Oryzias latipes: one gene and its partners. The protein of the gene in region 3 binds, or shares a complex with, the protein of the main gene of each other region. Links are inferred from orthologs where the notes say so. Each region holds a gene or a part of one and is shown on either strand. Other genes may lie near its edges.

Region 1 (3,377 bases), on a different chromosome or scaffold from region 3:
AAAAAATACACTTTGATTTTAGATTATTAGAGAAATATTTGATCTTGAAATTGAATAAAACCTCTAAATACATGCTATTTTTTAAAATACTGCAGGTCCTCGTTTATTGAGGGAGTTATGTTCTAAAAATAACCTCCATCATTAGCTTTATTTTTTACAAATATTGTTAAAGGTTTAATACTGTGAGACTCCTCTCTGAGACTTCTCTCAGACAAATATTAATATTTCCTCTCTTATTCAAATGTTTAAAGTTCAAACCTTCGTTAAAAAAAAGTCCAGTATTATAGAATGAAAGCAAAGATTTGCTAACAATTGAATGTTTATTTAAATATTGCAAACTGAACGCGTTCTGTACACGAGACACCACACGTATGGGACTGATTGACAATGGTCTACAGCCAATCAGGATGCAGGACAGAATCCGCTGTTAAAAAAACAATTACAAGTGCACCAAAACTCTGCTAAAGGTGAATTGTGATATAGCGAGGGACCACTGTTAGAAATATGTTGACAGACCACAGAAAACTAAAAGGAAAGAACTTGCTCTATGATAAAGAAGCAAATCTAACTTAGTGTTTTTGGATCTGGTCAAAACAAAGAACAAAACCTTAGAAGAGTACCAGAACTCTGGATATTTCTGTAATCCTGCATTTGGTTATTTTTCTTGCCTCTAATGGCAATAACTGTTGAAGGGACAATGTAGTCATGACTTGATTAACTGCACATGAAGCTTAATGAATAGTTTGTGGTTCAATTGTTTGCTTACAAGAACTTCACATACATTAATTTAGATTATGCATGCAGTCACTTGAGAAATGTTGTCTGCAGTCGCGTAGAAGAGAAGTTCATTTGCTTCGACAGGCAAAGTGTTCCTGCAGATTCTTATCTCATTGTCATGATGCTAATAACTTAAAGACCTGTAGGATTTTACACAGCGTGTTCCATAGAGAAGACCTGGGAAAGTGGCGGCAATCGTTACCTCAGACTCACTGCAGAATCGCTTCAGTCCCACACAGAAAAGCAGATTGAGGGAAATTCAAAGTCTGTATAATTATCCTCATTTAAAACCTGTAATTCACAGTCGTTTCAAAAGGGGCTAAAAAACAAACAGAATTTGCTCAGTCACAATAGTTTTAAAGACGCTCTAATCGTTTTTATTTTTATTTTCAGCAGTGGTCTTTTAATTACGGTTATGCCGTTTCTAGCCCCCAAAAAACAGCTGTTTTTCGAGAACATAATTTCTGCAGGGCAGCAGTTGTTCATCAAAAGTTCATCTCTGACTTGTGGGCGGGACCGTTGGTGGAGAGCAACCCCGCCCCCTTCCCCCTCCTCGATGCAAAAATGGCGAGCAATATCGGAGCTATCGAGCTGTACAGTTTTGATTTTCTAATTTTGAACAGTGGGGTTTTAAAGAAAGTTATGAAAATAAATTGTAAACAAATCTTTTATCCTTTCTACACACTTTAAAAACCATGAAACGGTTTACTAAAATCCTAAAAATGCTTCTTAATAAGTTGAAAGCCCAAAACAGTTTGAGGTTTCCATTGGTTTGACTTTCTCTGTCCTGAAAGGACATTTCATGTGACAGCTTTTGCACTCGTGTCACACTTCTGGAGGTGACTTACCTTACAAACGAAGCCGTGAAAACCCGTTAAGTCAAATAAGTCTGTGCAAGAGTTCTCATCTTCCTCCATAAGTGAGACAATCATCTTCTAAAAGGTGACATTCCATGAAATCAGTCAGTCAACCTGCCACTTCTGTGACAGCCCATAGTTAGAATCCTCCGCTGACCTTCCTCTCCTGTTTTTTTTTTTTTTTTCTGTTTCTTTACGAGCAGGTGGAGGACTCTTCTTTCTCACTCAGTCACCCCAACCAGTACTTTATAGAGAGCCAGAAAGCTTTAGGTGGAGGCAAGGATCCAAAGAGGGATGTGGACGTTCCTCAGAAGGTGCAGGAAACCTCTCAGCATTTGGCAGAGACGGCTGAGGACCTGGAAGCTCTTTTTAAAGATGGCTGATTTCTCTCACTACATGGAGAAATCCTCCACCTTTTTCTATTGGAGATGGTTACATACTGTCTTCAAGCCTCTTGCATCACATTTGAATTATGCTTTTTCTTTTTTTTTAAGATTTTTTTTTTATATTCACCTTGTCAGATTGGAGCCTCCTGTAAAACTTGTAATAAACACATATTTAGCTCCTTTGCTTTCGCTGTGGACTGAACTCGCAGGGCTTAAATCTGGTCTCTGTTTGGATGGAGTTTGGCTTTTGGGGGAAACCGTAAACATTTCCTTGCTGTCCCCAAAACAATGTCTTTGTATTTGATGGCAGCTTAATGGATAAATGCTGACAGGAGGATGGATGAAAAAATAAACCATTTCCACAGTTGTATTACTCTGCCTTGGAATATTGCCTCATAATGCACAATGCAATTTATTCAAAGCAAATGAGGTGGCGAGATATTTCCCCCTCTCTCTGTCTGGCCCGTCTGCTTAATAATTTCCCAGAAATGGTGGCAAAAGTTGAGATTGCGTTGCTCCTGCAGTGCAAGACGGACTGTTTCTCTTATTTGGGTGTTATATTTATGTGCATGTCGAAACACTACATCATTCAGGCTGCACTTGCATCCACGTGTGGCAGCGCCGGAGAATCAGAGTCCCACATTCCTGCACGGAAATTGGGTCTTAAAATCCAGTCATGGTGCTTGACATGAAGAGGATTTATCCAGTATAATAAGACAACTGGATAACTGAAGGCGGGCGGCTGTCAGCAAGATACTTCTTGATGTTCAATATTTGGTAAAGCATGACTACATTTGACACCGCTGCCCCCCCCCTCGACAGTCTGAAGCCACGGATGTCCAAGACCATTTCTGCAGATGGATTTACAGTCATTAGCAGTGAACTGGCTTTACATTGCGCAGCTTTCTTATCCGCCACTCGTCTGACGGACTACAGGTGATGTGAGATTCTTAAAGAGAGCTCTCACAGGAGCTGATGCCCGGCGTGTTCCATGAAGCCGTTGGGAGGTTAATGTTGCAGCTTGCTGATTTTTCAAATCTGCAGCCAGTAGGTGTTGCAGAATCCATTAACTTTGTCGAACCACAAAAATGTGCTGCTTTAATTGTGCGATGGCTGAATCCGTGGAGTGCAGGTGCAGCATAAAAACAGTGAAGCAACGATTACGCTGGCTCGTGTGCACATTTCTGTTCATTCAGAGATGCCTCCCTTTGTCCTCATCTTTTTATTTCATGCATGTTTGATAAATCGCCTCACTGAGTGGAAATTTGGACATTTTGTTTGTGCATTTTGCTTTGCAACACCATTTAATACATGAGAGCTTTTTTAGAGCTAGTAAAGCAAATGCTACCAAAGTGGT
Region 2 (3,832 bases), on a different chromosome or scaffold from region 3:
TACTGTGAAAAAAGGCCAACACTTTGAAAAAGAAATCATGCTGCAGTACTGTTACCCTCGGCTCGACGTGAACGTCAGCAAAGGGGTGAACCATCTGCTCAAGAGTCCGTTCAGTGTCCATCCCAAAACAGGTGATTATGCCTTAAAAGGAGCAGAAAGTTTGCAGTCATTAAGACAAATTCATATAAATATGAAGCCAGATTTGACAAAAATGCAAATGTCATACAAGAATGTAAAAAACAACAACTGTCAAACTTTCAAATTAAGGATTAAAAGCAAACCTTTAAAGATGCGATATTTTGTTATTACTTAAAATAATTAGCTCTCTTTGGAATGGTGACTGTTGTTGAAATAAATAACTGAAGCTATTGCACGCTTTCTGTTGTAAACTATTTGAAATAAAATAGAAGACAAGATGAACTACTGGGCTTTGGAAGATGAATATTGTCCTGCCCCTTTATTGTTATATTGGATTACACTATTCAAGAGTTCACCAAATTCTTTCAGTTATATTTGCAGTTTAGCATTGCGCTCAATGAAAACAAAAGACAGAGCAGTCTGTGGGTTGTTTTTTTTTCATATTCCAGTAAAACTTGAATACTTCCTGAGCTCTTAAATGACTCACAATAAGCTTTTGGTTGTTTCATCTGGACACAGACACTTCTGTCATTGTTTTTGTTTTGTTAAAGACCCACTCAGATAATCTTTTGTCCATTGGAAAGTGCTCCCAGTGGTTTTTTATTATCGGTATTCCGTTTTTAGCCACACACAAACAAAACTGTTGTTTTCTACGACAGTTTCTGCAGAGCGGCAGGGCAGTATTTCATTAAAAATTCACCTCCACCCAACATTACCAGTACAGAAAAAGGTGAGCAATATCGGAGCAATGCAGTCGCACAGTTCTGAGCCAGATGCCAGCTCGGAGGAGGAAAACCAAGAGGTCCAAAATGTCTGCAAGTGGATGCATCAGAATGGAACGAAGCAGGGAGCTTGTCACCTCTGTCACAAATACGGTCTTTTTTAAACATTTGTCGTCTGCTCCTGATTCACAGCAATTTGATTAAAGAACTAATAGAAGTTTCAAGAAGATTTTAATTTTATTTTATGCAGCATGAAAAAAAAAAGATTTGGGAAGAAAATTTAATTGAGCAAATAAAACAATTCAATTCAATTTTATTTGTATAGCCCAAAATCACAACAACAGTCGTCTCGATGGGCTTCGAAGTGAAACATGAACTCAAAAGGATCATGAATACAAAGAGTTCAATAGGAAAATGCTAAAATGAACTAACAAACTAAGCTAAGCTAGACTGGCATCCCTGCCCTTAGACCCCCCTTCGCAGTAAGAAAAAACTCGAAAAAACGAAGAAACCTCAGGGGTGCCCACATGAAGGAGGGATCCTCCACCAGGACGGACAGGCGATTTACCAGAACTCATAGAGAAGAACTAACTTATCTAACTTTACAACTACATATATAAAGTCCAGCAGACGAGCTTCATCCAGCCGTGGTTGGGGGGACAGCCAGGGGCGCGAGTCGAGCCTGAGACAAGAACCACAGCCAGGTGTAGGAACAGGAGCAGAGACGAGGTACTCGGTCAGGAATAGGAGCACGGATGAGCCAACTGGAATCTGGAAGCACTCCCAATCCCCAGGAGGGGAGAGGGAAAGAGGGACAATACATGAATCGCACTGCACCAAACAGAGGCATGGAGAACTAAATGATGAATGATGATCAATAATGGAGGAGAGGAAGGGTAGAAGTAGATGGGAAAAGATTACAGAACCCCAGAGCACCATAGCTACCCCAGCTTCAACTTCTCGCAGCCTACTAAAAACAAATAGTTATTAATTTATATTTCAAACCCATTAACATTAAGTTAAATAATCTCTGAATACTAACTACCGGTAGTCTGATAATACACTGATAAAACACTTCTTATTTTTTTCAGGTCGGATCTCAGTTCCCATAGATCTCAAAGAAGTAGACAGCTTTGATCCATTTGTTGTGCCTACAATCAGGTAAGGGAAGAATTCGGCATCCCTCAGTGTGTTTGATGCAGGAAGACTAACGAGGCCTCTGCTGTATTAAAGTCGCATCTGTGAGGAGCTGGATCGTCCCAGAACAGAAGAGGAAAAGTCGGAGGAATCCCAAGACAAAGAAAATGAGAAAGATGCAGTTGAGACTCGGAAGATGAGAGGTGCTCAAAGACAAGAATACTGAAATATGCCCTGCCATTAAAATATGTACGCTGTTATGTGTAAAAAATGTAAGGTAACGACTGATGGGCTTTACGTAACGGGGCTACTGTAACAAGTAAAGTAACAGAACGTACCACTTTCCTATTGAGAGTATTTATCATTCATTTTTGAGAGTTTGTATTTTTTAAAACTCACACAGAAACCAAAAAAAGTCATTTTTTTCTCCTCAGATTACAAAAGAACCAGCCTGGCAAAGTATGTGAAATACTTTGATTCTTTCCTGGATGGAATGACTCGTTCCTGGAAGGGAGAACTTCTCAGAAAGAGTGGTAAATTCTCATTTTTCAAACTAAAACATGTTTTCTTCTTCTTTTTTTCATTTTGCTGAATTTTCTTTCTTCCAGATGATCAAATGGAATTCTGACAGGCATCAAACTCGTGCTTTAAAAATAACAGATTTTACTGTCTGTTAGTACATGTGGTGATGGATGTGTAGTGCTTTATGCATTTGTGCATTTGACTCTTGTGACTTTGATATCTTTTTGTATCAAATCTTTGTAATTTTCTACATTTTTCCAACATTTTGCTGGTGTATAAATATTTGTGAGGCATTCAATAAAATGTATTAAATTTAAGCTCTTGTTCAACCTTTTGTGATTGATTTATTTAAAAACAGGGATTTGATTAGAGTGCAAAGTATTAATCACTTCCAAAAATATTTTTGATATGTTTGTGAGGATGTCTCTTTATCAGGTGTCTCCTAAACTAAAGTGAACAAAAATTTTAAGGGCGTATAATCTTTACCAACCAATTTAAATAACTGATAAAAGCGTGTGTCAAATGACCACAACTAAGACTAAATTATTGAAGACACCCATACTAACTTATTTGCACAGTTGGTATAATTTTTATCATTTTTGATCAGAACCACTGAACTAAGAAAAAAACAGGCACCCTGAGGTTCATTATTTGCAAGCTTGCAGAGCCAAATTTTTAACAAAACATTTTTTAAAAGTTCTTACAAATACTTAATATTTAATTTCTATAGTGTAAATTTATTCCCAGCATGCCAAACCCATCTGACAGAAAATTTGATTCAAATGACAAAAAGAAGCCTCTTTAAAAGATTACAATAAACATTTACTATGACAAAATGTGTTCCCAAATTTTTTAACCTAGATATATTCAATGCTTTCTACGAAGAGAAGGCTGTTTTTAATGCATAAAAAGACTATAAGTTTGATTCAAAAATTGAAACGTTTTTACACAGCACACCAGACTTTACCTCTAATGATACCGGAAGTAGAAAGGTGCTCCACCGGATATTACGCAAAAACTGGGGTCAGGAGTTCTTTCTCACAGCCATCTTGGAATTAGCGTCCCGAGTTGGTGAGGATCTCCGCTTGAAATCCAATATCATCTGGCAGTTTTTCCTACATGTATGCCCTTGCTAAAGACCTGGCTGGTTTAATTGAGATGTGACCATCACGTTGGTTGAATTATTGTTCTTGTAATGCCTCTCTGTAGTGAAGAATGTGCTGCTGAAGCATTGACAAGCAGCTCAAAATGGGGGAGCACGATATGTAACTTTTTAGTAGCGAACTGAGTGACTTGGAGTGAGCGTTTTGATG
Region 3 (4,899 bases):
GTTAGAAACTGCAGCAAACACTTATACCTTCATGGAAAACAGAGGACAAAGTACCTAAAGTCATTTTTTGTATATTTCCTGCAGATCCAGAGTTCAGAGTTGGTACTGTGTTCACCACTGAGCAATGGGAAAATGAAAAGAAATGTGACGATGAAGAGCAAGAATCCAGTCACCTGCCAGTTCAGCAGAGTCTCCTGCTCTTCCTCCTCTTGCAACACAGAAACCCCTTCTGCTCCCACCTGTCTGATTTTGTAGGTGAGAAACAATTTGGGATTTCGCGGTTTTTGTCAGGAGCCAGTAGAAAAACTGATGTGAACAGCTTTCAAGACGGCTCTTTTCACAGCCGCTGACATGCTGATAGAGCACCACCTGGAGGAGATTCTGTGCAACAACAAGCCGGCTGTCATGGCAGCCATACGAACGGAAATCGGGAACGCCATGAAAGCTCAAAATCAAAGGAAAAAGGCAAGAATGAAAATAAAACCTTCCCAACAACCTTTCTACTGTCAGAGAATAGATGAACAGCTGCTGCTGTACTTTGACAGAAAAATAAATATTGGTTCAAGTTAGCCACTTCAAGATGCAACCGTTCATTTTAAAATAAATTGTTTAGAGTGTTGTTTCATTTACTTGTTTATCTATGTTTTCTGTTCTGATGAAAGCAACAAGAGAAGCTGAATTCAGCGGCTGAGGTGATTCTCAGTTCCACCATGAGTATTGTTAGCTGCAGCAGCAACGTGGACTTCAGAAACGCCTGCTTTGACCTCATGAAGGTACAATAGAAAAACATCTGATCTTAAAATAACATCCAGCACTCGTAGTTTGTGTCGCAGCCAAATCGCTTAGTTGCCTAAATGAAAAGAAAAAAAAGTGCTTTTTGTGTGCAATGTGATTTTTAGGTAGCCGACACTCATGCGTTGTCATCCCACCTGGGTGAGTCACTCCGGCGAGTGATGTCATGGAGATTCCTTCCCGTGGGCAGATGTTATTCCACTCAGGTTAGTGAAGTGTGTGTTTTCCACAACCGCCTGGCATCCATCTGGGCTTTTAACAGTAATGTTGACCAAACTCATTGCTTTGGCAGATGGAGGAAAATCTTTTACATCACGGGTCTACAAAGTCGGAAATCTGAGGATGCTGTTTTTTTTTTTTCCTTGAAAGGTTTTTGTGGAGTTCAGACGAGTGACCTGTAATTTATTTTGTCTATAATATGCTGTATTTACCTTGAATAAAGAAAGTGGCGTGAAAAAACTTGATCCATATTTATTTATTTTTACAATCTGTGTCACACAAGAGGTTAATAATATTTATTTATTTTGAACAGATAAAATAAACATAATCAAAGTATAACAAATAACTATGAAAGGGGCTTTGGATGAAGTATGACAGCTGATCGAGTCTTTTTTTTTTCAATTTAGTCTAAACTTAAATGAACAGTATTTGTACAGAATTACAAGAAATTAAAGGCATACACTGGGGGAAAAATAATCAGTTCTTTTTTTTTTAAACTGCTGCCTACAGCGATTCATCCTTAAGCTTTTATTTTGACGGTGGCCTTGAGGAAAACAGTTTCCTGTCTTGACGTCATTTCCGGCCGCCAACCCCGACAGCCCCTTTTCGCGGTAAAATGAAATAACCATTGATTGGATTTATTCCGTGTAGTTTAATGCAGTTGGTAAGACACCGAGGGGTTTAACGTCGAGCAGTTAATTTAATCCGATTGTTGATGTTTTTTCTAGCTAATGTAAAGCTAGCGTTAGCATCACTATTCTTTTGACGCCGAGAACTAAATTATTAACCCAAACCACCAGAGGTCCAACAACAGTCGACAGCAAAGCAATGGCGCTTGCAACAGCAGAAAGTTTAAAGGCGCAGCTGGACATCTTCTGCATATCCTGCGAGGATGACTCGGTCCTAGAGAGGAGTGAGTGTTTGACATTTAATGCTTCCCTAATCGTCCAATTCTGTAGCGTTAGCTTAAGAATGGCATTGGAACCTGGGATCACGTGACCTGGATAACAACAGACACGATTCTTTAGTCTTGTCAACCTTTTGCTCTATTGTGCAATAAATCAGACTCGAAGCATAAACATTCAAGTATTATACTTTTCATATTGTCCATTCATTTTTTTGTTTTTACGGTGTATACTTCCTACTTCATTCATTGCTGTTTTTAAAATATCCTATTCAGTTTTTTCTGAATTTTTTCAAAAACCTTGCAGCAGCAGTAGAATTTCATCTTTTCATCCTGTTGATCTGATGTTTTCAGAACTTTATAAACCATTTCTGTCTTTAGTCCTTTGATAAGTTTTAAACTGTTCTCACTGGATTTTTCTCTTTGTTTTAGTATTTGCTGTTTCATTCAAAGACTTTATGCTGACAGCCATTTTTGTTTGTTTGTTTGTTTGTTGCTCAGTGGTTGAGCAGTGCATCTGTCACAGAATTCAGGAGGATGACATGGTGTGTGAGTGGATGGCCTACAACAGCAGGAACCCCAAACCTCTCACCATGAACACGCTGGAGCAGTTTGAACACGAGGTAAAAGCAGGACACAGATCATGGGTTTTTCATGACTGCAGCATAAATGTGGCTCTTCAGCTTTTCCACACTTTTTTCCCTTTTCTCACATTTGGACTTTTGGTTTCTTGACAGGTTTTAAACAAGAGGAACAAGTTCAAATCAGGCCTGAAAAAAGAAGAACCTTATAACAAAACCATGGACATTAACACCTTACAGGACATGTATCCCATACTTTAGGAAAACCAAAAACAATAGTACTATTGTGTTTATTTGTGTTGAGTTTCTGACGCTTTGCAAACCTTAACACAGTTCTCTAACAGAATAAAAGCTGAGGAGGAAGAGGAGAATCTCCTCGACTCTTACTCCACTCCAGCAAAGGTGAGCTCTCAGCTTGAACTTCTGTTTGTCTCCTTCCACCATCAGTTCTGCATAGTTTATGGAGTTTACTGAATCTCTGTGCCACCCCTTCTCCCTTTGCCTCGAGTTACAGGGTTCTCAGAAACGACCGCTAACCACTCCAGAACACCCGCAGTCCAAGAGGAGTGCTGCTCTGCTGGCCAGCCCCGGCCTGCTGCTGTCTCCAGCCAGCTTCTCTGCCAAGTACGAAGCATCACACAGCGTTCACACAGCCTCTGTCAGCTCGGCGCCGAGCCTTCAGCCTGAATATGAACACAGAATTCTGAGATCATTGTCAGAATTTTAATGAATTCTGACTTCTTTTATTAAAGTCAGAATTGTCTGATTAATCATTGAACTCCCTCTAATGGTAACAGTCTGCCTAGACCCTTCTTTTCTTCATGCATCACATAATCTCTAAGAAATACTTCTAGTGGGTGATAAGTTTAACTTCTAAAATTACTCAAGAGATGGTCATTTTCTATGTTCTATGATGCTTAAATTGTCTGAAATAACAGACAACACATTTGTGTGTTTTCTTATAAATACTTCAGATCCAACGGTTTTAAGATGAAAAAAAATAACTATAATAAACCACAAGAAATTTTGTTTCTTTGGAGGATTTGTTCTTTTTCCTACAGCTTCATTGAAGATCAGCGAAAAAAGGGATGTTTATTTTTATATCATGTTGTAGATTTTAAAGCAGTTTCTTCTATGATTAAAGAGATTCAATTCAGAATGGTTAGGAGTAAGAGATGAATGAGGTTTTGTTGGAACTTTGACTTGACTATTGTCTCTCCTCTGAAGTGCCACGCCCTCACAGAAGTACAACCAGCGTGGAGCCAAAGGGGAGGTTGTGGTCACGTTTGGAGCCACGCAGGGAACCCGCTGGGCGGGCAGGAAGAACCCGGCCGCCGGCGTCCAGGTGGACTTTCTGGAAGGGCCTGAAGACTCCCTGCACAGCAGCTACAAATTCATGTTCCAGAGGCTGCGCGACGTCAGAAATGGTGTGCGGGCCCCCAGCAGTGCTCCTTTGCTTTGGTGCTTAGTGTTTCTATATTCACGTCCCTCATTTTTCCAGTGTTGGCAGAGAAGATTGAGGATCTGGGGGAAACCGTCAGGTCTCACTTCCACATCGAGGAGTTTGCCAGCGTGTCTCTGCCCGCACAGGTACGGAGCCGTCACTGCTGTGGGAGTCACACGGTGCTGGATTCTCTGGATTCAGAATACAAAAGCCAAAAGAATCCATACGTGCACGTTCCTTTATTTGATTCCACTTGGATCCATAGTTTCCAGCAACAAACTGAATCAGTCATTTCCTGATTGTTGCTGTCATTTTCTGTGGGAATTGTTCTTGTTTATTATATTGTTTAATGATCTGAAGTTTCCTGTTATTTTAATGCAACAAACCCATAGTTAGGTTTTGGTTTAGATTTCATTCATAATGTCATGATTAAGTCTCTTGAAAAAAAAACACGTTTTCTTTCCCCTCCCTACTATTATATCCGAGTTATTTTTGATGCCTCTGCATCAGTTTTATGCCAAATCCTCAAATTAAAAGCGGGTTTTCTATCTTTGCCGCTCTGATATCCGCTCATTCATTTCTGCCCTCCACCTTCAGGACAGCATAACGGTGTCGGGGCAGATTTGCTGCGACAGTAACGGCAAACTGAACGCTCAGTCTGTTCTGTTGGAGGCGGGACCGGAGCACGGCGGTCAGCAGGTTGCCGTGGACCTGTCGGAGCTTAAAGAGTACTCCCTGTTTCCCGGTCAGGTAGGATGAACCCTGCACAGAAAGAAGTGTTCCTGTAATCTCTGAGCTGGAGGAGACGGTGAGGGGGGTGTTCTCCCGCTGGTGGTTTCTCCTTTGCCTCTGCACTCAGGTTAGTGTGCAGCAGGTTATATGGCCACCCAGAGTAACAGAGCATGCCAAGGACCCGGGCTGGAGGTGAAGCCGGTGTCTGACCGAGAGCTCTGACAGTC

The links. Proteins that work in one complex are often made in the same cells at the same time.
Region 1: pola2 (region 3) and prim2 share a complex: the UniProt entries of both Homo sapiens proteins name them as parts of the alpha DNA polymerase complex. The link is inferred for Oryzias latipes from reciprocal best matches to the Homo sapiens genes POLA2 and PRIM2.
Region 2: pola2 (region 3) and prim1 share a complex: the UniProt entries of both Homo sapiens proteins name them as parts of the alpha DNA polymerase complex. The link is inferred for Oryzias latipes from reciprocal best matches to the Homo sapiens genes POLA2 and PRIM1.

The regions. Positions count from the first base shown.
Region 1 is NC_019873.2:24,463,377-24,466,753, forward strand, and holds the end of prim2 (DNA primase large subunit), read left to right. Parts: intron 1-1,837; coding exon 1,838-2,017; 3' UTR 2,018-2,393; downstream 2,394-3,377. UniProt on the Homo sapiens protein: Regulatory subunit of the DNA primase complex and component of the DNA polymerase alpha complex (also known as the alpha DNA polymerase-primase complex) which play an essential role in the initiation of DNA synthesis.
Region 2 is NC_019865.2:19,073,250-19,077,081, reverse strand, and holds the end of prim1 (DNA primase small subunit), read left to right. Parts: coding exon 1-131; intron 132-1,951; coding exon 1,952-2,021; intron 2,022-2,093; coding exon 2,094-2,200; intron 2,201-2,431; coding exon 2,432-2,530; intron 2,531-2,605; coding exon 2,606-2,625; 3' UTR 2,626-2,848; downstream 2,849-3,832. UniProt on the Homo sapiens protein: Catalytic subunit of the DNA primase complex and component of the DNA polymerase alpha complex (also known as the alpha DNA polymerase-primase complex - primosome/replisome) which play an essential role in the initiation of DNA synthesis.
Region 3 is NC_019868.2:12,481,978-12,486,876, reverse strand, and holds the start of pola2 (DNA polymerase alpha subunit B), read left to right. Parts: upstream 1-1,557; 5' UTR 1,558-1,839; coding exon 1,840-1,924; intron 1,925-2,416; coding exon 2,417-2,538; intron 2,539-2,652; coding exon 2,653-2,741; intron 2,742-2,840; coding exon 2,841-2,898; intron 2,899-3,010; coding exon 3,011-3,120; intron 3,121-3,723; coding exon 3,724-3,923; intron 3,924-3,997; coding exon 3,998-4,086; intron 4,087-4,537; coding exon 4,538-4,690; intron 4,691-4,899. Other genes in the region: uncharacterized protein LOC105354875, read left to right, coding at 85-255, 344-465, 663-773, 900-998, 1,085-1,132. UniProt on the Homo sapiens protein: Accessory subunit of the DNA polymerase alpha complex (also known as the alpha DNA polymerase-primase complex) which plays an essential role in the initiation of DNA synthesis.